3 linked regions of the Styela clava genome follow. Each later gene encodes a partner of the first gene's protein in a complex. Links are inferred from orthologs where the notes say so. Each region holds a gene or a part of one and is shown on either strand. Other genes may lie near its edges. The genes, in order: vacuolar fusion protein MON1 homolog A-like, regulator of MON1-CCZ1 complex-like and vacuolar fusion protein CCZ1 homolog.

Region 1 (7,530 bases):
GTTTTATATAGAAATAAATATGGTCTGTATAAAGTAAATGATAAAAGTAAAATAGCAGAAGATTTTCTCTAATTTTTTCATGAGGAAACCAAGCTTTTTTAATCGACAATATAGATCAAACTCCAACATATTTAATGAAACTGACTTAGGATGGGATTTACGTATTAATCTCAGGTAAGAGGAAAGTTGATACAACGGCTAAATCATATGGCGAACCACGGCTTCTCCTCCGGTTACCAGTCAATGTTGAGTATGGGATTAGTTAGCCAGTGATTTGCTTTCGGAAGCATGGACGTGATGGATGAGAAAGTCATAATCGACCAGCGATTACGTGAATCACTCTACGCCAGAGAGGGTAATCCAATCGCATAAATTGTCGCAGCATGTGATTCGAACCTTCAAACCCGCGCAGGGTGATCAGAGGTGCGGTGGCGAGATTATTCCTAACGCTTACACCAATGCGCCACACCGCCGAGCTAGAGTCATTGACTCGAATCGTGTTGGATTTTAGTCACCATCTAACCTAGACTCATCTAAACGAGATTACTCTAAATTTTGCTTAACTTGGATTCAAACAGAAATAGGTAATCGAAATCGACTGTAATGACCAAATGCTTAGTACATTAGCCGTACAAATTGTACTAAACTCATTCATTGCTCGCTTCATTGATGGATGGACATTTTTTTTTTCTAAAGCGTACTATTCAAATAGTTCAAACATAACCATAGTTACTATTTAAATAATCTCAATAAGTAACTTATTACAAACAAAATTCTCAATGTAATATAAACTATACACAACTAAGAAAAGCATGATTTCAAGAATTTGATGTTCATTAGAGAAAGTCGAAGCTTAATCATTCGAACCCTCTTAGCGGGCTGTTGGGCGATCCTGCAATTACAAGTACTACAGAAATCTAATCGCCGATACAAAACATGTTTCCTTCAGTGCGCAATATTGCTATGATGACAATTTTTCTCATAATCATATATATAGTATACAAATATAAAATACAATTAATATATTTTACTTATTTTGGGTTTGCTTTCCTAGCTCCTTGTTGTTTTGTGCTGATTAATTTTTAGGGCGCGGTTTGAGTGAAACGACGAACTATTTTTGCGTTATTTCGTTCTAATTGGGGACCCGTATGCAAATATAACTATCAAAAGACTGTGAAACCAAATGATGAGAATTGCGTACTTAATGAGTAAAGAATATTTTAATACTACCGACAAAAACAGCGTGAAATTTTCTCCTTGAAATTATACAAAGAGACAATTTCTGGATTGTAATGTTAATAAAATAAAACATTTTAATAATTCTTCGAACTGTTGATTCTGTCTCCTCGTTTATTCACTGCCTCAGGTCCGTAAGCTATAGAATTCACATAAAACGCATGTATATTAGATAGTATCATCAGAATTCAAAACCAAATGGCACGCTATCTTGTAATCTTAGTGTGAAACCACACTGTTATTCATAATTCAAGTATGATTGTATTTTAATCATATATATATATATAGAATATGGCATGTTTACCTCTGTAGATCGTCTGTCAAAAACTTAACAACACAATTTTAAAGGTTACAAATCGTCACGCTAATAACCGAATTGCGTAAGTCATTTTTAGCAGTTTTGAGAAAAACTTAAAAACTTCCTAATGATATTGTTTTGCCATTGAGAGTCAGTAATTTGCCATGGTTCAATTTTTTGATCATATCCGGATTTAAGTTAATTTGTATGATGCAGTTATGTGACGTCATAATGGCGCACTGTGACTTAGGCAAAAATGTGTCTATGACTTGGGGATATACGCAATTTTGAAACTTCACTATATGCACCAGTCCTGAAAACTAAACATTCCAAAAACGAATGTAATTCTCAGTATTTACAATGTCTAATCCCCAAAATAGCTAATCAGTTTTAATTACATTATTTTTTATGTTTAAAAATATATATTTCATCAATATAACACGTTCTGCACACCCATCAAAATAAGACTAAGATTGAATATAAAGAATAAAACAGCAATGCACCCAATATAAAAGCCAACCATGGTAAATTGGACTCGGACAGTGAATATCACAAGTGCACGTCTTCCTATACTGTAGTAAAAATTCAAATTAATACGTGCTATGCTAGAATCCGAGATGCAAAAACTCGAAAATACTTCGCCGATTTTATTTTGCTTTTGTGACGTCACAATAGTCCTACGGTAACAATGATAATTCATTATGACAAAACAATAGCACAAATATGCATGTCATACTAAGTCTCCATTTTTATGGGTTTCGGAATTCCTAAAATAAAATCTGAGGGAACAGACAGGTGCGCAGCATTACATAAATACCTATTTTATAAAAAACTCAAAAACGCCAAAAATGACTTACGCAATTCGGTTATTAGCGTGACGAAATAGTATTGGTAATACCAAAATATTCACCACTCCCTAATTGAAAAGCTGGTTGACATACAGGCACAAACTCTCGTCTGGCTACCAGTTCATGTCGGGTATGGGGTTAGTGACTAACCGTTGTTAGTTCGCCAGTTTTTTTAGATGCATGTTGTTCAGAGGCTTGGTTGTTTAGGAAGCTGTGAACGACCAGTATTCTATGAAACAAGATTCGACTGAGAGTCAAATAATTCTTTCGCACATAATAATTCCCACAGAATTAGAACTTGCGGACACACACATGGTAATCTGAAATGCGATGGGATGCGATTCCTAACCCTTAGCACGTCAAGCCATTATCTTAAATATCAATCACTAAAATTGCGGTCTAGCTGTATCTGGTAATATGAATCATGTCTGAGGTAATGGAAGAACAATAAATATAGACGTGTGGTAAACAGTTGAGTCTATTCGATAGGCTTGCGAATACGGACTGGTTAACTTCACCTGTCCCAACTGGGAAAGAATACTGTTTTGATTTGCCGTAGTATTACTGCCATATTATTGGACACGAAAATTTCCTATTATGTTGTTGGTATTTTTGATGTTACCGTATGTAAATAGAAGTTAACATTTTTCACAGTGACTACACTACACTACTACACTACCTTTCACATTTTTCACTACCAAGGCAATTGCTTTGACATTTTGACTGGTTAAAGTTTTTATTTTCCCCCAGAAGGATATTACTTTTATTTATTTAAAACATTTTCTGTTGGCAATATGTGATTTTGTCAACCAGATAAGACATTTAAAAGTCTTCGAACTGTTGGTTCTTGCTCCTTGTATACAGTACTCACTGCCTAAACCCCCTAGGCTACAGAATTCACATGAAATGCAAATTGAGTTGTATCAGAATTCAAAACAAAATGGCGCTATATCTTGGAATTTTCAGATTAATCTCATGGGGGAGGGAAGCCGATAAGGTGGATTATTAATTTGGCGAACTCTCGTCAGAGTGTATAAATCACCAAGGCTTCTCGTCCGGTTACTAGGCCAAGTTCAATGTCGGGTATGGACTAGTTAGCCAATTATGAGTTTTCAGATGCATGAACTCGTTGGTGGAGGAAGCCGGAACCGACCAATGGTTACATGTTAAGAACAACCATTAGCGGCGAAGAGTTCAGCAATATTCTCGCAGATAACCATCCTCCATCTGATTCGAAGCCACGCAGGGTAATCAGATGGGCTATGTGTCACCGATAAGTTTTTGTTACTGTGTTTAATGAAGTCAGGAGGCCCAAGATTCTGGATTGGTTATTTATTGATACGACAACTCCACACTTTTAACATCAAAAGCAGCCGACCTCCAGCCGAATAAGAGAGTGGGATAAAATAGGATTTACATATTTATCCCGGGAAGAGGAAAGCCGATAAGACGGCTTAATTATATGGCAAACCACGGCCTCTCGTCCGGTTACCAGTCCAGGTCGGGTACTGGATTAGTTAGCCAGTTATTTGTTTTCGGAAGCATGGACTTGATGGTAGAGGAAGCCGTAACCGACCAGCGGTTACGTGAACCACCCTACGGCATCGAGGAGTCCAGCAATCCTCTCGCACATGATCAGAGTATGATAAGAGTATCTTTTTCTTCTAACGTGTAATGGAGGGTCGGAGTCGAATTAGCAAATTAGGGACAAGCATACAAACCTAAAAATTTATATACACATGATAAACACGGACATTATGGTCCGTGACAGATGACAAGCATATTTTTAACGCTTAGCACTACCTGCCACCGGTAACGCTATGTATTTGTGATAAATATGTTATTTTTCATTGTCTATAATCTGTATAATTGTGTTAATTTTATTTCTAAAGAATAGGTAATGAATAGTTAGAGTAGGATATACCTATTTATACCGGGGTTCGACGCGTTTTCATCAGCAAATTAGTCGGACTGATAATTTTTTGCGGCAGCAAATTCCTGATATAGTTTGACTCCGGATTTTTTCCGAAGTGGAAACCTGAGTGAAAAAAATCTCTGCATTTCATTTGTTTGGGTGAGGTTCTGAAGTGCCGTGGTGGGGTAGCGGAATACAGGAATACGCTACCGTACCGGTATCGCTGTGTTAGTGCATTCGAACTGAAGCATGTCAGTTCCAAGCGATACAGACGAAGTAGCTGTTACCGATGCCAGGCCGTCTATAAATGGACTGGAAGAAATTGAGCCAGGTAAGCCGATGGTGACGTTTTTAGATTGCGAATCCTATTAGTTTATCGCACAGGTCCGGATTGCCGACTTGGAGGCCCAAACTATCTTTGGAAGAAGGGGTTTTTCACTCACTTGATTTCTCTCAATGTGGAGGCTATTCTTAAAAATCGTAGAAATGTTGAATGTGTGGTATTATACCGGTACGGTACATCTGTAGGTATGTTTTGAAGAATTCACTCCCGATTTATTTTGATATGGTACCCGTCTAAGTCAGTAGTCCTGTAACTTAAACACCGCAGTGCCACGGCTTGCCATACTGTCTAGTAATTACTGCCATATAGGGTGGCTCAACCACTTTGCGGCCATCAACTTCATTGATCTAATTTATGTCGAAAAAATTAACGAACCGCGGCGTTATTTTTCACGCCTTATCGTCCACGTGTCCCTAAAAATGCGGTCACAAACAAGAAAGTTACGAGTCGTAACTTACGACCGAAAATAAAAAACAGACTATTATTCCATTAAAAAAACTTGAAAATCCATACAAATATAAGAGATAAAAAGATGAAACTTGGCAAGAAGGTCAGAAGGTAGAGTTGTGTTTCTTTTAACCAGCTTTAAATTTCCACGTTTCTACATTTAAAGGAGGAGAAATAGGAAGGCGCGCATTTCCAATACGTCAATAATATCTTTGTCGACCAATTTGCGACCACCGTGTTTTTGTCTGTTTGATTGCTGTGATGCGGTGCTTCAGTGCTTTGTATATAATTTGACAAGTTTTGTTTGAAATGACTGTGTTCTTAAAATATATGACGGTCAGAAATGCAATTAGAAGCCCAATTTTTTCACGCATGGCTGCGTATGCTCTAGTCTCGACGCTGCAGAAACGATGTTCAAGGCTTGAAATTCGTGGTCGCACACTGGTTGTTTCGGTCGCAAATACGTCTTCCGAGTGTCGTACTTCGGTGGTTTGTATAGCTTTAACCCCTGGTCGTAGAAAGTTAATTCGAGGTTTAGCGTGTAGAATAAATGCCAATGCACCTACGGTGAAAAAATTTACGGGTTAGAAATATTTGTTTTTGTTTTATAGCGGTTTGAATGGAACCGTCCGCAGACTGGCTACACCACCCTACTGATATACATAAGCCATCGTACCGGTATTGACTTCATCTTTTCGGGATAAATTTGTAAGTATTCAATTCTTTTTCCTTGAATTACTAGGAGCAACGGCAGAAAACCAGTCACTCGTTGTGAGCGAAGAACTAACAACAGAAACTAAGGAATGGGACGAAAATGCAACTGATCACCACTTTACCAATGCTGCAGGAATTAAAGACTTAACTCGGCTGATGAGAAGGTTAGCTGTGTAATAATATTAAAATAAAATGCATTATTTTCAAAACTCCAAATCACAAATTACGAAAATAATAACTTTTGCTCTGGAGTCTGAGAAACTTACAATCGGGGATTCTGGATTGAAAAAAGATGAGTTAATGAATTTACTGATTTCATGTTTCTGGGAAAATTCTGACTCCCTGGATGCTAGATCTTTGACACAAGACTCCGATCTTGGGAAAGTTTTAAAATATCCTCCCCATTCAGCCATTATCAAATATATTTTGATATTCTATTTGCTAATTACATCAAAATAAATGACGCGATTCATTTGAGATTTGTATATTATAATATAAAGTCAGTGCAATAATAAGTAATACAAGGAACGCAATGGTTTAGTGGTTAAAGCGTTAGACTTATCTTTGTTGACATTGCAGCTTACACATCTATTTTCCAATCCCCATGTTCTCCCAGTCTCCCACCCTATAAATTGCCTTGTGGTTCTCAAAAGGGCGTCGCGGTGCCCAAGTGCGTTGTTTCCATTTTGCTAGGGCGTTGCAAAACTTTTCTTATTTTGTGGAATTGTAGGCTACGCATGAAACTCATTACAAAAAAAGGTCTTCCATTAAAAAATATCAAGCCGTTTTAACGGGGAGTCGCAACTTGATCATATTTTTCGGAGGGCGTCGCAATATCAAGAAGTTTGAGAACCACTGGCATAGACAATGTTGAACCAGCAGGTTGCACACCCCGGGAATAAAACATAATTTGTATATTTAATTTTTCAAGTGTTTCTGTGAAAGCTGATGAAGAGAAAACGAAAACTCCAGTTCACAGAGCAAAAAGTGATTCTCATAAAACAGTGACAAGACATCCAAGTGGCAATTCACAACTTGGTGAATTCTCTGGGACTGACTCCATCCCAATACCCGGTATTAATGATGTTTTTGTATCTCTGTTCAATAGTTTTAACTCAAAGATGTTTTGATAAAATTGAGAAAACCTTATATTGTTGATTTTTTATATTACATTGATGGATTTTGCTTCAAAATGATTAAAACAGCTGAAAATAACTTTTTTCTTCGTAATAATTCAAAATTGAAACTACGACGTTTGGTTTTTTGTTTTATATCGAAACAGGACATTCTAGGAAACTGTAGGCCTACCTACGCCTGTCTTAAATCCAATACTCTCTAAAGCTTTAAAAACGACAGTAAACTACCAGATTTTGACTTCCACTCCAGCAGCATACTCTGAAAAAAAAAATTCTCATGATAAAAATTTGTTTTATTGAAGCTTTTTCAATTTTTTGATTCAAGGATGAGTAGTGTGGAGTTGTCGTTCTGTCTGAAAATTTGATCTCTGATTATACCTACCAAACAAGATCATGTAGTACTTAAATTCTCACTTATCATAAGCCGAGTTGCAAACTAAGGGGTTAATTGCAATAAAAATTTGACTAATACAATCATAACTCACTCACACTCAAAGGAAATGACATTATGCATAAAACAGCTATAACTCAAACCAAGTTTCCCCAATAAGAACGTGCAAGCAGCTCTTAGTACGCTATGACAGCGATAACAC
Region 2 (7,703 bases), on another chromosome or scaffold:
AACAATTTTATCATATAAGGAATAAATTCAAAATATTTTTATTTCGCAATCTTTGTGAAACATTGGGTTGCCTGTTCTTCCATAATTTGAAGTTTTTAAACAAGCAATGTCTAAATATATATTCTTAACAAACATGAATATACAATATTCATTACAACATCATAAATAATATATGTTAACCTTCAGACTGGGATTGCAATATTGTCAAAATATAGTTACCAAAAATATTGACCAGTTAACAGGAAAATTATAATTTTTCAGCAGCTTTGCTTGACGTTTATCTTGATTTATCTAAACAAGATCAGAAAATAGATACGATTAAAAAACAAATGTCAAGAATTAGCTGATTATGTCTTTTTGTGTTAAACAAAATCTACAATGCTTTAGATTTATTTTTAAGATTTACCGAAAACAGTAATGATACTGCCAATTCTTTGTTCTATTTTTTGGACCTGTACGTAACCAGAGTGGAATCTCATTCCACATCATTAACTTCATTAAGCTTCCACTAATTAGCTAGCTATGTGAGAAGAGATTCTGCCATTTTGTAACAACCATTCTTTATGTTTTTTTTTTTTGTTCCATTCAAGAGTGGGAATCCATGTTTGCTTTACAAGTTTGAATTATGATTACGCTAATCATTCACATCACCATCTCCCTTACAGAAGAAACAACATTGTGTGGACCAGGGGTGTGCAACCATTATTACAGGAGGGCCAGATACAAAAAGCTGGGTGAAATCGCGGGCCACACCTTTATTTAACATAGGATTTCTAGCAGTTGCAGGCACAAAAATTTTGATTATTGATTTTGCTCGCCCTTAGTATAGACCAAAGCTTTATATAATAACAAATCAAGATTCAATTTAAACAGAGAAATGAAAAATTCTAAAATATTGTATAAATATTCGCTCAGATAGTTATTTGACATACCGTATATATAATATGTAATTCATTATGTGAGTAATGCTGAAATATATGGATGAGAAGTTATTCAAATGACTAATCGCATTACAGCAGTTCTAAACGTCACATTACATGTCTGTACTAGTAACGCTTCAAGTGAGCTTGTCAAAAGATGACAGACCACTGAACCAGTCTGATAGGTTTGCAAAAATAACAAGATTTGAGACAAAATATCGAGGCTAAATTCAAAAAATTGCCATCTCTATAGTAAAAACATACCATATCTAAGTAATGAATATTTAAATTTAATTAGTCCATTAGATGCGGTAAAAGTAATTTTTTTCACCGCAACAACAAACCCAACAAAAACAACAACAAGTTAGTAAAAGGTGCGCTTTATCCCAACCACGGAAAATTAGCTTAAATATATTGGAGTGTAATTTTTCATAGAGGCAATATTTTGAACATAATATTACCAATTGAGTTCCATTCAAAATAATACCTGATAAAACTCAATGCCACTCTGCGTCACCATCACTATTTCATGTGTACTTATCCAATGAAATGTTAAAATCTTGTTATTTTTGCCCTGAATAAAAAAGAAAACGAATTTGCACATGATGAAAAAGTATAAGCAGAGAAAGTGAATTTTCATGTCTTAAAAATTTTACCTTGCTTGATTGTGAATATTCAGATGGATCTGGGCTCCCATCTTCAATGTTTGCGAATTCCTGAGAATAAATCATCAAACATATATTATTAAAATAACATTGAAGTACAATATGGTATATGATGGTGAAGCATTAAATTTAACTATGATTGCACCATTGATCAAATTCTTGGGTTCAAATTCCAACCATTCCCACCATCTCAAACAAGATGTAATAAATAGGATAGGTAGGCAATTTTCAATCGAAAAAACTTCGGTCCTTCCAAACCCCATCCATCCCAGGGTGTTGCCGCTCGATAACCAGTATTGGTTTTCGTTAATCTCCTTTCACTCTGAAGTACGATTTTTCATATATTTTCATTTCTTGTATGTATAGTGTGTATGTATTTTCACCATGGTGAAGAAATAAATTACTGATTACCTTTTAACTCCTTATATAGTAGTGATAGCTTATGCAGAGCCTTGTTTGGAGCAAAAGACCCATAACTACGTTAGATAGAAAAATAAAATGATTCATGTGTATTTATGGTAATCCCATCACCTATTCAATTTAGTCACATTTATTCCATTTTTAGAATAAGATTTGAAATGGACAAAATAATCATAAAACCTTCTTTCTTGCTTGGTACTATTCCAATAATCAGAAGTTGAATAAATATTGTTACCATATTAGAGTATTACCGTAGACATGATATGTCCATTCTATCAAGGCCCATGCTTCTAAAAATAACTACGGAATCACAGAATTAGAGTTGGCAAAATTTTATATCAAATACGTACAATATTCCCTTTTTTTGATTGAATCCATTCTATGGAATATTTTTAACAACAACACAGATGTTTGATGTTATAGTTAGAAAATATATAACAGTACAGACTGCCATTCAATATTACGACCTATTTACTTTTCTCTTTTCATTCACAGGGCTCATAGCCTGTATTTTCTCTCAAACAAATACCAGCAGCACTCACAATACTAGTCTCCGATCGTTGCAAAGCCAGTATTTTATGATGATATGAAAACTTGATTGATATCAGGGATCCTTTATCATTCAATCTGAAACTATGTGAAGTTCTGTCATCAGGACCACGGACAATCACACCTGTTGCACCTCCAGATCTAACAGCAAATATCTAGAACAAAATTTAAAAAGTTGAATATCCAAATTAAAATTAAACGACACCAGTAAAATTTCAACCCCCCCCCCCCCCCCCTAATTTCATAGTGTGATACCACACTGTAATTCCTAACGATTAAGTATAATTATATTTTAAATATATAGAATATGCCATAGGCCTATTTATCAGTGTAGACGTTAAGTCAAATACATACCATATTTTTATAAGTTACAAACAGTTTTATCGCTAATAGCAAACTTTTCCCATTCATACCTGTTTATTCGCTTCATCAAAGAAAACATTGTTGACAGCTGTAACTGCATCAAATCGAACTGAATTTTTGCATAGTGCAAGATAACTATTTGCATTGGAACTCATAATGTTAATTTCTACATTTTCTAAACACAATATAGAAAAAAAGTTCAAAAAAATTAATAGACTACTGAATTAAGTAATATAATCAATATAACCATATAAAATGACGTATTCAATCAGCTAATTGATTTCTAAATAGCATAAATGGATAGATGTTCAAAAATACGCGACAAAACAATTAAGGGAACCAAAACTATTTATTATTTCATCCCCAAACCAAAACAAACAGTTGGACATTCAAAGCTGGCTTAAACAGGAAATATTGCTAAGAGGAAAAAACCCTAATATAAAATGGTACTGTGTTAAAATACCTAGATATGAGTATGCAACAATCTGGTAGTTGGTGCATTGGTCTGATAATATTGGATGGAATAGTGTGTTAAAGTTTGGTAATTTGACAACCCCAGTTGGTTGGACACTAAACAGTTAAACACAAGCCCACCCCAGGTGTACCAAATTCTAGAAAAACTACAACGAGTCTGGCCAAACCTTTAAATCCTCATGTTAAAAATATACTGTTCAAACCCGTATGATACGAGATTTTATACGCTATTACTTTTTCAACCATAAATCCAACACAATTGAGTGTGAAGAATGAATAACAAGGCACCGGTTATCCAAATGAACCATTTCAAAGGATATATATATTTTCGCAAATATTATTAATAATATACAATAAAATATGAAAAATGAATGAGAAAACAAATCAAAAAAACACATTCGATTCATTCAACAGCTCGAAGCAAAATTATTTTAGATAGGAAATCACAAATGTCAAGAAAATTGTAATAACATTAATATAGATTTTGGGTTAATGAACTTATTGTGGTTTTAGTGAAATGTTGCAAAATTAATTAGCAATTGAAAAAAAAACAGATGTTATTACCAATGGTCAACTGGGTGCATAAACATATACTATAACAATATATGGCTCCCAGAATAAAGGGTAAATTCTCATGGATTTTTGGCTAATTACAAATGAAGAAAACTGAACTAATGGCAAAGTCACATAAAACACCAAAATGACAAACAATACTGTAGTCAATATTATTCCACAGCACATGAAATGACTGCACCATATTAAATGTGACAAAGTAGAAGAAAACGTATTTTGAACAAAATTCATGAATGAAATAAAATTGTATTCATGGCCAACAGTTCTTGGAAAGAATACAAAGCAAGATTGAAATGGCTGAATGCAAAACATTCCTGAAAAATCATGTGAATACATCGAATACATCCTCCGATATCGAGGTTAATCAGACAACACTCTGTGGATTCCAGCGTGACACTACACGTAAGATAATATTTTTAGGTGCATAACTTGTCAAGTTGAATAAAGTACTGTAAGTTCGCACCATTGATAATGATTAAGCTGTGAAAGTTTTGAGTTGGTGAAAAACGACTGACACAATTTTCTAGGTGTTGAGTGATAAACTAATTATCATTTCAACTGAGAAAAATCTCTGGGCTCAATAACAACTAAAAGCTTTTTAAGATTGTCATCTTCGTCTCTATAAATGTCGAAAGAAAATGAATTTCTTGTTTCCAATGAAGATGTCACATTTTTGACCAATAGCAATTCCAGATTACCGAATTATACGCTTTGGGAGAAATGGAAACATAATTAAAAGCAGTAAATGTAATTTTCTATTCCGATTACGACCCTATAACAATATCGTCAAAACGGGTGATATTGATAATATTGCTAAATCAATACACCTCTTGTTTACCCCCAAAATATTGTCTTCTGACAACTGAAAACCGAGCCAAATTAGTGCATACAGCATTCAAATGATATTGATAAGGTAAATGTTTGTACATTCAATCAAAACTTTTGATTATCTGAATGAGTTCAGTTAGCTGTGAGATATGTGAGACCTCATACATCATGCAAGGAATTGATATCCATAATATGGACAGTTTTACATAACCTGTATTTGTGTGATTTTTGAATCTTTTATTCACTTTACTTAAAGTTATAAAATAATGGAACAAATTAATAAATAAAATTTTTCCCGCTGTTTATATCCAATCTTCCAATCACACTTTGATATGAAATTCAAAATATACGCCAAGTTGGAGATTTCCAATAGTCTCAATTGAAATTTAAAATTGATATCTAGGATACTGAACTATTCGGCTATGAAGTTTTTACATCTAGTTAACCAACACCATTATTTAAAAAAAAAATTACGAATCAGTTTGCATGACAGTTTCTTGATTTTGACCATTATTATTAACAATCGGCCTCGCCCATTCAACAAAATCATCGATAAGTGCGGGCCAAGCACCTTCCTCATCATAGTTAGACATATCGTCAGAAATCATTAAACTAAATTCTAAAAGAAGATTCCAAGTGTCTCTAGGTATGGCTCGTTTATAATGTTCTGTAAGATACTGACACCACAGATCAAGATACTTGAATCTGTCACCGAGAAGGATATTCCAATAGGCAATAGCCATGTCAAGGTCCAATCCCTTTTGTTCAGGATTTTTTGCAAAATTGAAAGTATATTGATATAAACTTTTAAATTTTGCTTTGTCTGCAATTTCTGTTTCAAGATTCGGCAACATCCATCTTAGCTTTTCCAAATCATCGACTGATAATTCAATCATTCCATTAATAAATTCAGCTCTTGTGAATTCACATTGCACAGCTGCCTTGAATTTCCATGCAATAATAAGCACCAAACGACTTGTAGGATCAAGTTGGAGTTCTTCCAAAAATTTAGTTATTCCTTCCACACCTATCTTATCAGGATCTTGTGGATCACGAAGCCTATTATACAATGCTTCAATCCTTCGCCTGTCAACAGTGGGTTTACTCTCTCTCCAGTAAAGTTCAGGTTCAGTAAAATAGTTGTCAGAAGCAACATCTAACCTCCAATCGTGGTGTGACAAACAATATATGGCAGTTTTTTCTGAGGCCTGGGTAAAAGTCATGAAATGTCGAACTTTTTCCCTCTGAGATGGCTTCAACTTATGCATGGTGATATAAATGGTAGTTATATAACCTATTCCTGTTAAAATAAAGTGGACATTACATACGGTATCTAGTTTAGATAAGTAACCATCAGGACCTACATTCTGACTTTGCATTACCATACTGCCCTACAATGCTGCAATGAGCTCATCTTGATATTCAATTATAAACAACACTGCAAACTTCAACGTATATTCAGATTATACTGAAATTTAAAACCAATTCAATTCAACATTCTAACTCTAGAAAAGAAAATCTACAAAATACAGAAATAGCTCCAAGACTCAAAACATTCATATAGCCTATAATATAAAGCGATGAGTCTTGTAATACGAATTTCAAATTGTGAATTCAATGCCACTATAATTTTAAACAAGCGTCATAGTCATTGGTCAGTGAAACTTGTACACAGCATAATACCAATAATGGTTTTCATTGAATACATTTTGAAAAAAAAACTGCAATGGAGAGGTTCAGGGCGTTTAAAATAAGTAAATATGCACAAGAAGAAGCTGCCATCTGTAAAACTCGGACCCGCAATTTTACACATACCCTTCTTACAACTACACTTCTGTTTAACTAACATTATTGCATAGGACAGTAGGATCTTCACAATGTGGAGAGCGGGCCTAACCTGGAGGTACTGCAATAACAGGACAACCCGGGGGAGTGGTGTGGCAAGCCACAACGCCTAACCCTGAGGTGCAAAATTCAAATTAATACAAGAGTGAGGGAGTACCCAACATTTCAGGTATTATTCTGAAAAGAACAGATACTACACTTGATCTTGGCCAAAAGGCCGATAAGCGACACCATCTGCTCTCAGGCCCTCACTCTATTTGACTGAACTAATCTTCTGATCTTAAAGTTATGGTGGCTGTAACAAAACCACCAAACTGATCTTTTTTCATTGTGGTAAAAATACTAGCCTACAGCATTTCTGTCCGGTGAGACATTCTATTCTATACTTTGAAAACAATGTTATTATTGTAATTGCAAGTGTAATATCTATCTATGACAGATATTGTTTGGCTGTCAGTTATTCCTCAATTCTCTGATTTAAAACGACTAAGTTGCTATTCCAAATATATCCATGTATTCTGAAAGCAATGCTAAGCATTAGGAATGATCTCGCCACCACACCTCTGATTACCCTGCGTAGGTTTGCAAGTCGGAATCCTATGCAAGGATAATCAAGTGCGAAAAGACTGCTGGACTGGCTAACCGATGTCCGGTTATTGCTTCAACCGTCCTCAAAGTCCTTCTATTGCTAATTACCTATTTATTGTATGAAAGGATCTCCGCGATAAATAATCAAGTGCGGAAAGACTGCTGGACTGGCTAACCGACGTCCGGTTGTAGCTTCAGCCGTCCTGAAAGCCCTTCTACTTCTAATTACCTATTTATTGTATGAAAGAATCTCCACGATGTGGAGAGTGGGCCGAACCTGGAGGTACTGCAATAACAGGACAACCCGTGGGAGTGGTGTGGCAAGCCACAAAACCAAACCCTGAGGTACAAAAATCAAATTAATACAAGAGTGGGGGAGTACCCCACATTTCAGGTATTAATCTGAAAAGAACAGATACTACACTTGATCTTAGCCAAAAGGCCGAGAAGCGATAAAGATTGGTGTCCAGTGTCATAG
Region 3 (7,891 bases), on another chromosome or scaffold:
TGCGGCATCAAGATGATCTCCCAATACTGTATCTAGGGATGCGGTGTATTCCACCATATCCAAAAATACCCCTCTATTAGAAGAGCCAGCCCGTTCATCGTGCCCACGGAGGGACAGCTCGTGACAACCAATGAACTTCAAAACATCTATCAATCGACCGAGAACATGGCGGTTTTTCTCGACGTTTTGGTTGTGCCGACGAATAGAAACCGCGCTGCAATATTAACATTTCCGAATGTTCGGTATTTTACTGCATTGTCCAGATGCTCCATAGAAGATTGATGATCCTTGGCACGCTCGGAAAGATGTTTAAGATCTCTAAAACCAAATTTACACCAACGTGAGTCACGGGCGGTAGCAAAAAGTAGGCAATAAAAACAAAAAAGTGCATTTTGTCCTCGCTGTAACACAACCATTCGTGTTTTTTATACCAAGTTTCTGCGCAGAATGTACGCCGACGCTTTTCTCCGTCATGGGATTGTTCCAGTGAACAATTTTTTGGTTGATAAGGCCCAAGACGTTGTACCTCTAATTTTTGTTCCAGCGGCAACTGCGAAAACGGAGTGCGAAGTAGTGCATCAACCTTATTCATTATGAGGTCTAAGGCTAAGAAATGCGAAGCCGGAAAGAAGTGAGGAGCTCAAAAGGAATGTGGAAAATCGAAAGCAAATGGACTAAAGGGGTCTAACTGATTCAAATAGTGAAACGAGCGACAAAAACGAAGGCGAGGAAACTATCAACTCTTCAAGCAACCAACGAACGAGAAGGAATGCGTGAATATGTCAACACGTTGTTGTAAGAAACGTCGGCATTGTGTCGTCATAATTTCGGGGCTAGCCCCGACAGCCCGATCGACCCGGATGATTTAGTAAAAGAAACAGAAAATAAACGAGATAAACGCGGCGAGTGGAAGATAAAAGAGAGAATACGATATACAATGAGCAACCGGGGCAAAATCGGCGTCGCCCCGTCGACGTTCGGCGAAGGCTTTGCGAGCGAAAAATGAACCATGTCGGGGGAATATGGCTAGTGTAGACAGTCTGTGCAACCGATATTGAGGTATTTTTCGAATATTTTTTATTATACCGAAAATAACCGGGGCATTGCCCCGGCCCCCGGTTGGCCCTATTGACGCGCTGCCACTGATAACCGTTAACCATCTGAAATCGGTAAACCATTCCCAGCCCTAGTCAGCCAAAAACACAACATAGCGCCGTTATGGATCATATTTTCATTGCAAAAATTTTAACGTTGCTTATGGGATAGTTTTGGAGAGTTGGCGCTTACAAATTGGCTCACATGTTTAAAACTCATTTTTATTCAAAACAATAAACCACGTGGCGCTGATAGCTAATATTAAGGTAGTCTATCGCAGGGCTACTCAACTATTTTTATCGAAGGTCCGCAAACAAAACTTCAAAATTATTTGGGTCCGGTCTTTCCAGAACTGATATTTCGGCATCCTTAAACGAGCACTTCCTCGACCGACTAATGATTAGTAGCAAATTAAAATTGTTTATTACGGTGTTATAGTTCTTTTCGTATATATTCAAAACTATGAAAGTCATTTTATAATAGAAAATTCAAAAAGTGGGGCTAATGATTCAAAATAAATAATTAGGTGCGGTCCAAATACAATACTCGAAAGGTCCGGATTCGGACCGCGGTCCGCCAGTTGAGTAGCCCTGGTCTATCGCATCGTTTGCGATATCAATTTTGGATTATTGTTGTAACTAAACTAAAGGTCCTCAGAATACATAATTGCAGTTAAGGTATTTGATTTAAAACTATGTTTTGGAAACACAACTAAAAACTGACGAATAAGACGCAAACCTACTAAAACGAGGCAATGTTTACAATCATGCTTGAATATCTGTCTGAGCGGAAAAGTGTCTCTGAGCGGCGGCTTATATTCCAATTACACGTCATTGTTAGCTTTTTGCTCATTTGTAATTGTAGGTAAATAAAAAGGACGTAAACAGGATCGGTCTCATCGGAAGAATTGACAAAAGGAATAGGTATAAAGGATGAAACATTGTCTATATGAAAGAAAATAGACATGGCGAGTTAGCCCTCTCTCGAACTCGCGATGTCGATCAACAAATATAAAAAAAATAGACATGGCAAGTTAGCCCTCTCGAACTCGTGATGTCGTTCAACAAATATAAACAAATAGTCATGGCGAGTTAGCCCTCTCTCTCTCTCTCGAACTCGCGATGTCGATCAACAAATAAAAAGAAAATAGACATGGCGAGCTAGCTCTCTCGGAAGAAAGCTCGCATCTAGGGTTAGTTCGGATACCACGATATGACAATGGCCCATGGCAGTAGGCTATATGGGGGTTCTTGGGGGGTGGAGGCTAACTCGCCATGGACCACTCGCCATGCGACGGCGGTTAACGGGTATGCCTGCAACTGCACGAAGGCTCTTCCTGTAATGGGAGATGGAAAGGTGGCTGTTTCCACTTACAACTTATAAACTAATCTATCACAAAAATTTGAGAAAGTGAGCATAAATCTGAAGCGTTAGAAGTCTTCAGTTTACTTTTTTCATGTGTCCTACAGAACATTCATATCATTCTTCTTGGTTTATTCTTTTTTTTTTCAGTACTTTTTTATCCCTATTATTCTCACAGTCATAACTGGATCATAAAATTGTTTAGTTTACAGCATTTGACTAATTACAGATTATAAATGTTAATAATGTATATATATTATAGAATTACCATGAAACAAAAATTCTGCTGACATTGACTGATTTAATAAATGTATCAAAATGTGGTCACATCATCAAATTGTGGCATTTGTTCTAACATATTGTGTGTATACAATATTTCATGCATCAAGAAAGGCTTACAGTGATTCTAAAGATTCATTTTCAAAAGAATGGACTCCACTATCATGTAATTTATCATGGCCTTGCCCAAGGCCTGAAGAAATATGGGAGGACAGACAATTGTTCTCAAGCTATGCATCAGCAGAACCCTTTCTTGGGCTCTTGGATTCTTTATTTTTAGTCTCCTATGCTATTGGAATGTATTTTACAAGCTTTCTTGCTGACAGAGTGGAACTGCGAAAAGCATTGGCCATAGCAATGTTTTTATCTGGCATACTTTTATTTTGTTTTGGAGTTTTAACTCAAATGTTACACTTTTACAATAAAGGATTTTACATATCCATGTGGATTTTACAGGGAATTATACAATCAGTTGGTTGGCCAACTTGTGTCGCAGTTGTTGGCAATTGGTTTGGTAAATCTGGGAGAGGCCTTGTGTTTGGAATTTGGGCATCATGTGCATCGGTTGGTAATGTTATTGGAAATGTCATCACATCTTCAGTTATTAATTATGGTTATGAATATGCATTTCTTACCATATCTGTTATGATGTTGGGTGGAGGACTGGTCGTGGTGTTCGGCCTTGTGAATACACCACTTGAAGTAGGTCTTCCTCCACCGGTTGAGACAGAATCTTTGGATAGAAGAACTCTAGATGATGAAGATTCCCAACCTCTTGAAGATGATTTCAATTCTGAAGACGACATGAATGTACCTACTAATGCAATTTTGGAGACTGTAGATAAAGACAATGCACTTACAAATACCACATTGGAAAATGAAAACACTGAAATTGCAATGTTGTCTAATAGTCATCAAAAGGAATCTCAACCATTGTCTTTTCTAAATGCTCTATTCTTACCTGGAGTTATACCTTATTCTCTCAGCTTCGCGTGCTTGAAATTAGTCAACTATGCATTTCTTTTCTGGCTACCGTATTATTTAACCAATCATTTCCAGTGGGATGATTCACTTGCATCTAGTGTCTCCACATGGTATGATGTTGGAGGAATAGCTGGTGGAATTATTGCAGGTGTACTGTCAGATGTTTTCAAAACTCGAAGCTTAGTTTTATTTTTCATGCTTCTTGGTTCGCCTTTTGCATTGTGGGGATATAAATCATCGCCAAACGATGTTGTCATTAACAGTATATTGATGTCCATCGTTGGATTCTTAATCAATGGTGTATCAAATATTTTATCTTCTGCAATTGCTGTAGATATCGCAAAACGGGAAGCTGTTGGTGAACACTCTCTAGCAACTGTAACAGGGATTATAGATGGAACTGGAAGCCTTGGTGCAGCAATTGGTCAATACCTTGTAGCAGTTATACAATCAAATTATGGTTGGAATTGGGTTTTCAATTTGTTTATTATTTCCAATGTAACAAGCTTGATATGCCTTTTTCCAATTTTTTATAATGATTTTGTGAAGCATTCTGCTTGTGCCAATCGTTTATTTGAAAGGTTACTCTCATTTCGTTCAAGCTATCGAAGAATTGATGAAAACTAGTGTAGCTTGTATTGCTTTTGTATGTTATGTATTAAAAAGATCTTGGTTTTGTGTATAATATATACTGTATGTTTATGTAGTGATATTTGTGACTTATAATACTAATAATGTGTCAATAAAAATGTGATTTGATAACCTATAGCCTCTGCGCTCTACCGCATGTATAAGGATCTTGCCATATTTTGGATGTTTTTTTTCTGTATTGTGTTGTTACTGTGTATAATGTATGCCTTTTCATGTTGGGGATTATGAGTTGAATATTATGGATTTAATTGCCAAATTAATAAATTGGTCATTTCTATATAGCAAGACTTTGTATCACGCTTTGATTAATGTTATGTATAAAATAGAGACTACTATATTTACTATTCACGGTATATAATAACCCTTTCCCAGAGTCGAATAATTTGTTTGTTTTCTTCATTCGTTCAACTCTATTGTGAAACTGATGTTATGATTCCTATTTTGACTGATAGTATTTTTATTTTTCCTCATATTATTAAAGTGCAATTTTTATTTCTTGAATTCATATTGGTACTCAACATTCATTTCAGTTCTTCAATATTTAAATATTGTATATATAATACTACGATTAATGATTTGTTATCATTGAACCGCTGTAATATGGCAACAGCAAAGTTGTCCTCTTTTCTAATATATAACCCTACTTATGGACCGAAAGAAGGCCAGGTTAGTATTACATGACATGTTTATTATGGTATTTACAGTAATTAATATTTTTAAATATTGTAGTCTAGATTGGGTGTGTGCAACCTGTGGCCCGCAGGTCAAATGCGGCCCGCAAAGAAAAATTGTGTGGCCTGTGAAACGAGTTTTTCATTTAGTTTAATCTGTTTTTTGTGCCTTCAACTATTAGATAGCCTATGTTAAATAAAGGTGCAGTGTGCGGTTTCACCCAGTCATTTGCATCTGGCCGGCCCTCCTGTATTAAAGGTCGCCCACCCCTGTTGTAGATGATTGCCACTCATGCACACCTTAATCCAAATCTGCTTTTCCGGGATTTGAAAGTTTAGGCATTTGATCATTCAGTAATAGTAAATCTCATCAGGCTATATGTGTATGTACAGGTTTAGTGAATAATTCTGTACCTGGCGGGAGATAGTAGCACTGTTGAATAAGACAAGCCTAGGCAATGAGCATATTATATCTTGGCAAATGTTCATATTTACCATCCAACTGAGTGATATCCTAGTCATGTGATTTTATTTGCACAACCAGGCAAACAAAACCAGAATCCATCCTCAGTCTGTTTGTTTATTATCATATTGTATAATGCTTGTGGCAGTGCCCTTTAAAACCGATTGAACATTAGATTTTGCTCAATGGTAAATATCACTGTGAAAATATTTTCCAATGTACCTGTAAGTGCAAACACCTCATGGACAAATGTGCGAGATACAAATATATATATAGCCTACAGTATATCTAGGTTACAAATTTATCATAAGTGAATTAAACTAAGTAGACTAATAATTGCTTCAAACACTAAACGTTGTTCTCATTTTAGGAACATTTGAAAGTTTTGTTCTACTATCCCGAATCAGAACATCCCGATGTAAAAATAAATAAAGTTGGATTATGTGAAGCGCTGATTCAATTTGCTAAAACTTATTCATCAAGCAAACCATGCGAAACTCTTCATACTCAAAAACACAAGCAAGTATTTTATGAAGCGGAGGAGAATTTTTGGTTTGTCATGGTAATAATCTTATTTACATTGTTTCAACTATAAATATATATATTTATAAGTTGTTTTATTTGACACGAAATGCTTCTATGGGAGATGGGATCCAAGGCGGCAATATGCCACTTAAAATTTTGCTGTTTTATTTTAATTATTTGGAACACATTTTTTAATGCCATGGGAATGTTTCTGTCTCACTCCTCTGAAATGAATTGAACTACAATCAATTATTACATTTCATTTCAGCAAACTTGGTTCTTAGTTATCGACACCAATGCATGACCTTCATGTTCATATATTTTAGAATTGTTCTTTTGTTTATACTTTACATGTAGGCGCTCCAGAAGTGTGTGTACCAATATGAAGGTAACTAATTTTGTTCGCCTATTTTATATCAAGTTGTGTAAAGGGACTGAAACCTATGGGCAGGTGGTATATTCACTTGGCTCACACAGACAGTCCCTGAACTTGTAATAGAACTAAAATAAGGGAAATTAGAATAAAATTATGGCCTAACCTTAGTCGGGCTGGTACAGCTGGTACACCTAGCCTACTACAGAAGTACCAACATATATTCCACAAATCTATATATTATCTTTTTCATGTAGGCCTACTAAGAACTTAACTGTCTATTTAAAGCCAATGTGAATCACTTACTACAAACATTTTTAACTGGATAAACAGAGTAAAATATTTGGTTTAGTTGTCTGAAATGAAAAACATTATTTTATGATTCATAATAGTATTTCCCAAAACTAAATAACATGGAGGCACCCCATGTAATAAGCTTAACTTCCAAGCACATTATTGCTTTTTTGAAAATGTTAAGAAGGATTGGAAATTTGTTTGTTCATGTCATTATATATTCAAGCAGGGCCATTTAAATGAGATTTTTCAAGTTGCCATTGAATCTTAGGGAGAAGGTGGCCATTTTACAAGACCCAAAATGTGAACTGGTAAAGTAAGTGGAAGGCTTTGTTACTGAATTTGTGCTTTTCTATGGTAAAATTCATATTTATTTTTCGGTACTCCCGTAGTGTGTGTACCAGGTTAGGGTTAGGTCATAATTTTAAACTGATTTTGCTCATTTTAGTTCTATTACAAGTTCGGGGACTGTCTGTGTTAGCCAAGTGAATATACCCCCTAGTCCATAGATTTCAGATCCATAATACAAGTTGATGTAAAGTAGGCGAACAAAATTACTTATCTCCATATTGGTACACACACTTCTGGAGCGTCCATTTATCACTGCCCGTTTTACAATTAACACTTATTTTGTAGACAGTATCAAACCCATGGAAAGAAACAATGCGAGATGGAAAACCAGTTAGAGAATATTTTGAGGAAAATATTAGGAGTGTTGTTTTGAAATCTGTACTGGAGCAAGCTTATTTTATGTTCAAGGTACATTTCTTTGATACAGCAGTATATATGGTATAGCACAGTATAAGCATATCAAACAAATGAAAAACAAAAATTATGTAAAATATTTAATCAAGCATGATTCATGCTTCACTATATCACTTACTCTATATAATTTACATGAAGACACAAATAATTGATTCCAATGGTAACATTTTTAATCAGCAGGATATAATATGATGCAAAATATTAGGCAGTGTCTATTAGGGCCACAGGAGAGTACATTCTCTCATTGTAACTAGTTATCCTTGATTATCATCTTTTTAGGCTGAATATAAAGTTTTGTCTGTTCTATGTCTTTTGTTATTTTATTTGCCATTTGAAGAAGTATTTACTGTTATACTTTACTGGTGTTTTTCAGCTTTTTATGGGAACCATAGAAAATATTGTCGCCAATGAGGACATTGAACATTTGAA

Evidence for each region.
Region 2: the proteins of vacuolar fusion protein MON1 homolog A-like (region 1) and regulator of MON1-CCZ1 complex-like are in contact, whole or in part, in a cryo-EM structure (PDB 8JBE), measured with the Drosophila melanogaster proteins. The link is inferred for Styela clava from reciprocal best matches to the Drosophila melanogaster genes Mon1 and Bulli. Residues at the interface, in NP_608868.1 of Drosophila melanogaster: Pro416, Glu417, Arg419, His438, Pro439, Glu445, Arg448, Met473, Lys474, Glu475, Arg476, Glu494, Pro495, Val496; in NP_648047.2 of Drosophila melanogaster: Ile561, Arg565, Lys568, Asp590, Leu592, His595, Ser596, Arg599, Phe600, Met603, Phe631, Pro632.
Region 3: the proteins of vacuolar fusion protein MON1 homolog A-like (region 1) and vacuolar fusion protein CCZ1 homolog are in contact, whole or in part, in a cryo-EM structure (PDB 8JBE), measured with the Drosophila melanogaster proteins. The link is inferred for Styela clava from reciprocal best matches to the Drosophila melanogaster genes Mon1 and Ccz1. Residues at the interface, in NP_608868.1 of Drosophila melanogaster: Trp112, Gln113, Phe120, Leu142, Val145, Ile146, Leu149, Phe152, Val153, Gln157, Asp158, Ala159, Ile160, Thr161, Ser162, Ile163, His164, Ala165, Gly166, Ile168, Phe170, Phe172, Arg185, Arg459, Ser464, Arg465, Pro466, Leu467, Lys468, Leu469; in NP_647835.1 of Drosophila melanogaster: Lys48, Gly51, Leu52, Ile56, Phe59, Thr60, Thr62, Phe63, Thr64, Asp68, Cys69, Gln70, Ala71, Leu72, His73, Thr74, Gln75, Lys76, Thr77, Ala114, Glu115, Ala412, Asp413, Asn416, Pro427, Ala428, Glu429, Glu430, Val431, Gln432.

The regions. Positions count from the first base shown.
Region 1 is NC_135250.1:28,745,958-28,753,487, reverse strand, and holds the start of vacuolar fusion protein MON1 homolog A-like, read left to right. Parts: upstream 1-4,428; 5' UTR 4,429-4,546; coding exon 4,547-4,628; intron 4,629-5,829; coding exon 5,830-5,965; intron 5,966-6,732; coding exon 6,733-6,875; intron 6,876-7,530. UniProt on the Drosophila melanogaster protein: Part of the Mon1-Ccz1 guanyl-nucleotide exchange factor complex specific for Rab7 that promotes the exchange of GDP to GTP, converting Rab7 from an inactive GDP-bound form into an active GTP-bound form.
Region 2 is NC_135258.1:12,005,668-12,013,370, reverse strand, and holds the start of regulator of MON1-CCZ1 complex-like, read right to left. Parts: upstream 3,097-7,703; 5' UTR 3,073-3,096; coding exon 2,968-3,072; intron 2,710-2,967; coding exon 2,548-2,709; intron 1,637-2,547; coding exon 1,577-1,636; intron 1,495-1,576; coding exon 1,408-1,494; intron 292-1,407; coding exon 220-291; intron 1-219. Other genes in the region: DCN1-like protein 1, read right to left, coding at 5,263-6,060. UniProt on the Drosophila melanogaster protein: Positive regulator of the Rab7 guanyl-nucleotide exchange activity of the Mon1-Ccz1 complex, possibly by enhancing its endosomal membrane association.
Region 3 is NC_135260.1:15,860,007-15,867,897, forward strand, and holds the start of vacuolar fusion protein CCZ1 homolog, read left to right. Parts: upstream 1-4,800; coding exon 4,801-5,037; intron 5,038-5,875; coding exon 5,876-6,067; intron 6,068-7,333; coding exon 7,334-7,456; intron 7,457-7,835; coding exon 7,836-7,891. Other genes in the region: sugar phosphate exchanger 3-like, read left to right, coding at 2,776-4,347. UniProt on the Drosophila melanogaster protein: Part of the Mon1-Ccz1 guanyl-nucleotide exchange factor complex specific for Rab7 that promotes the exchange of GDP to GTP, converting Rab7 from an inactive GDP-bound form into an active GTP-bound form.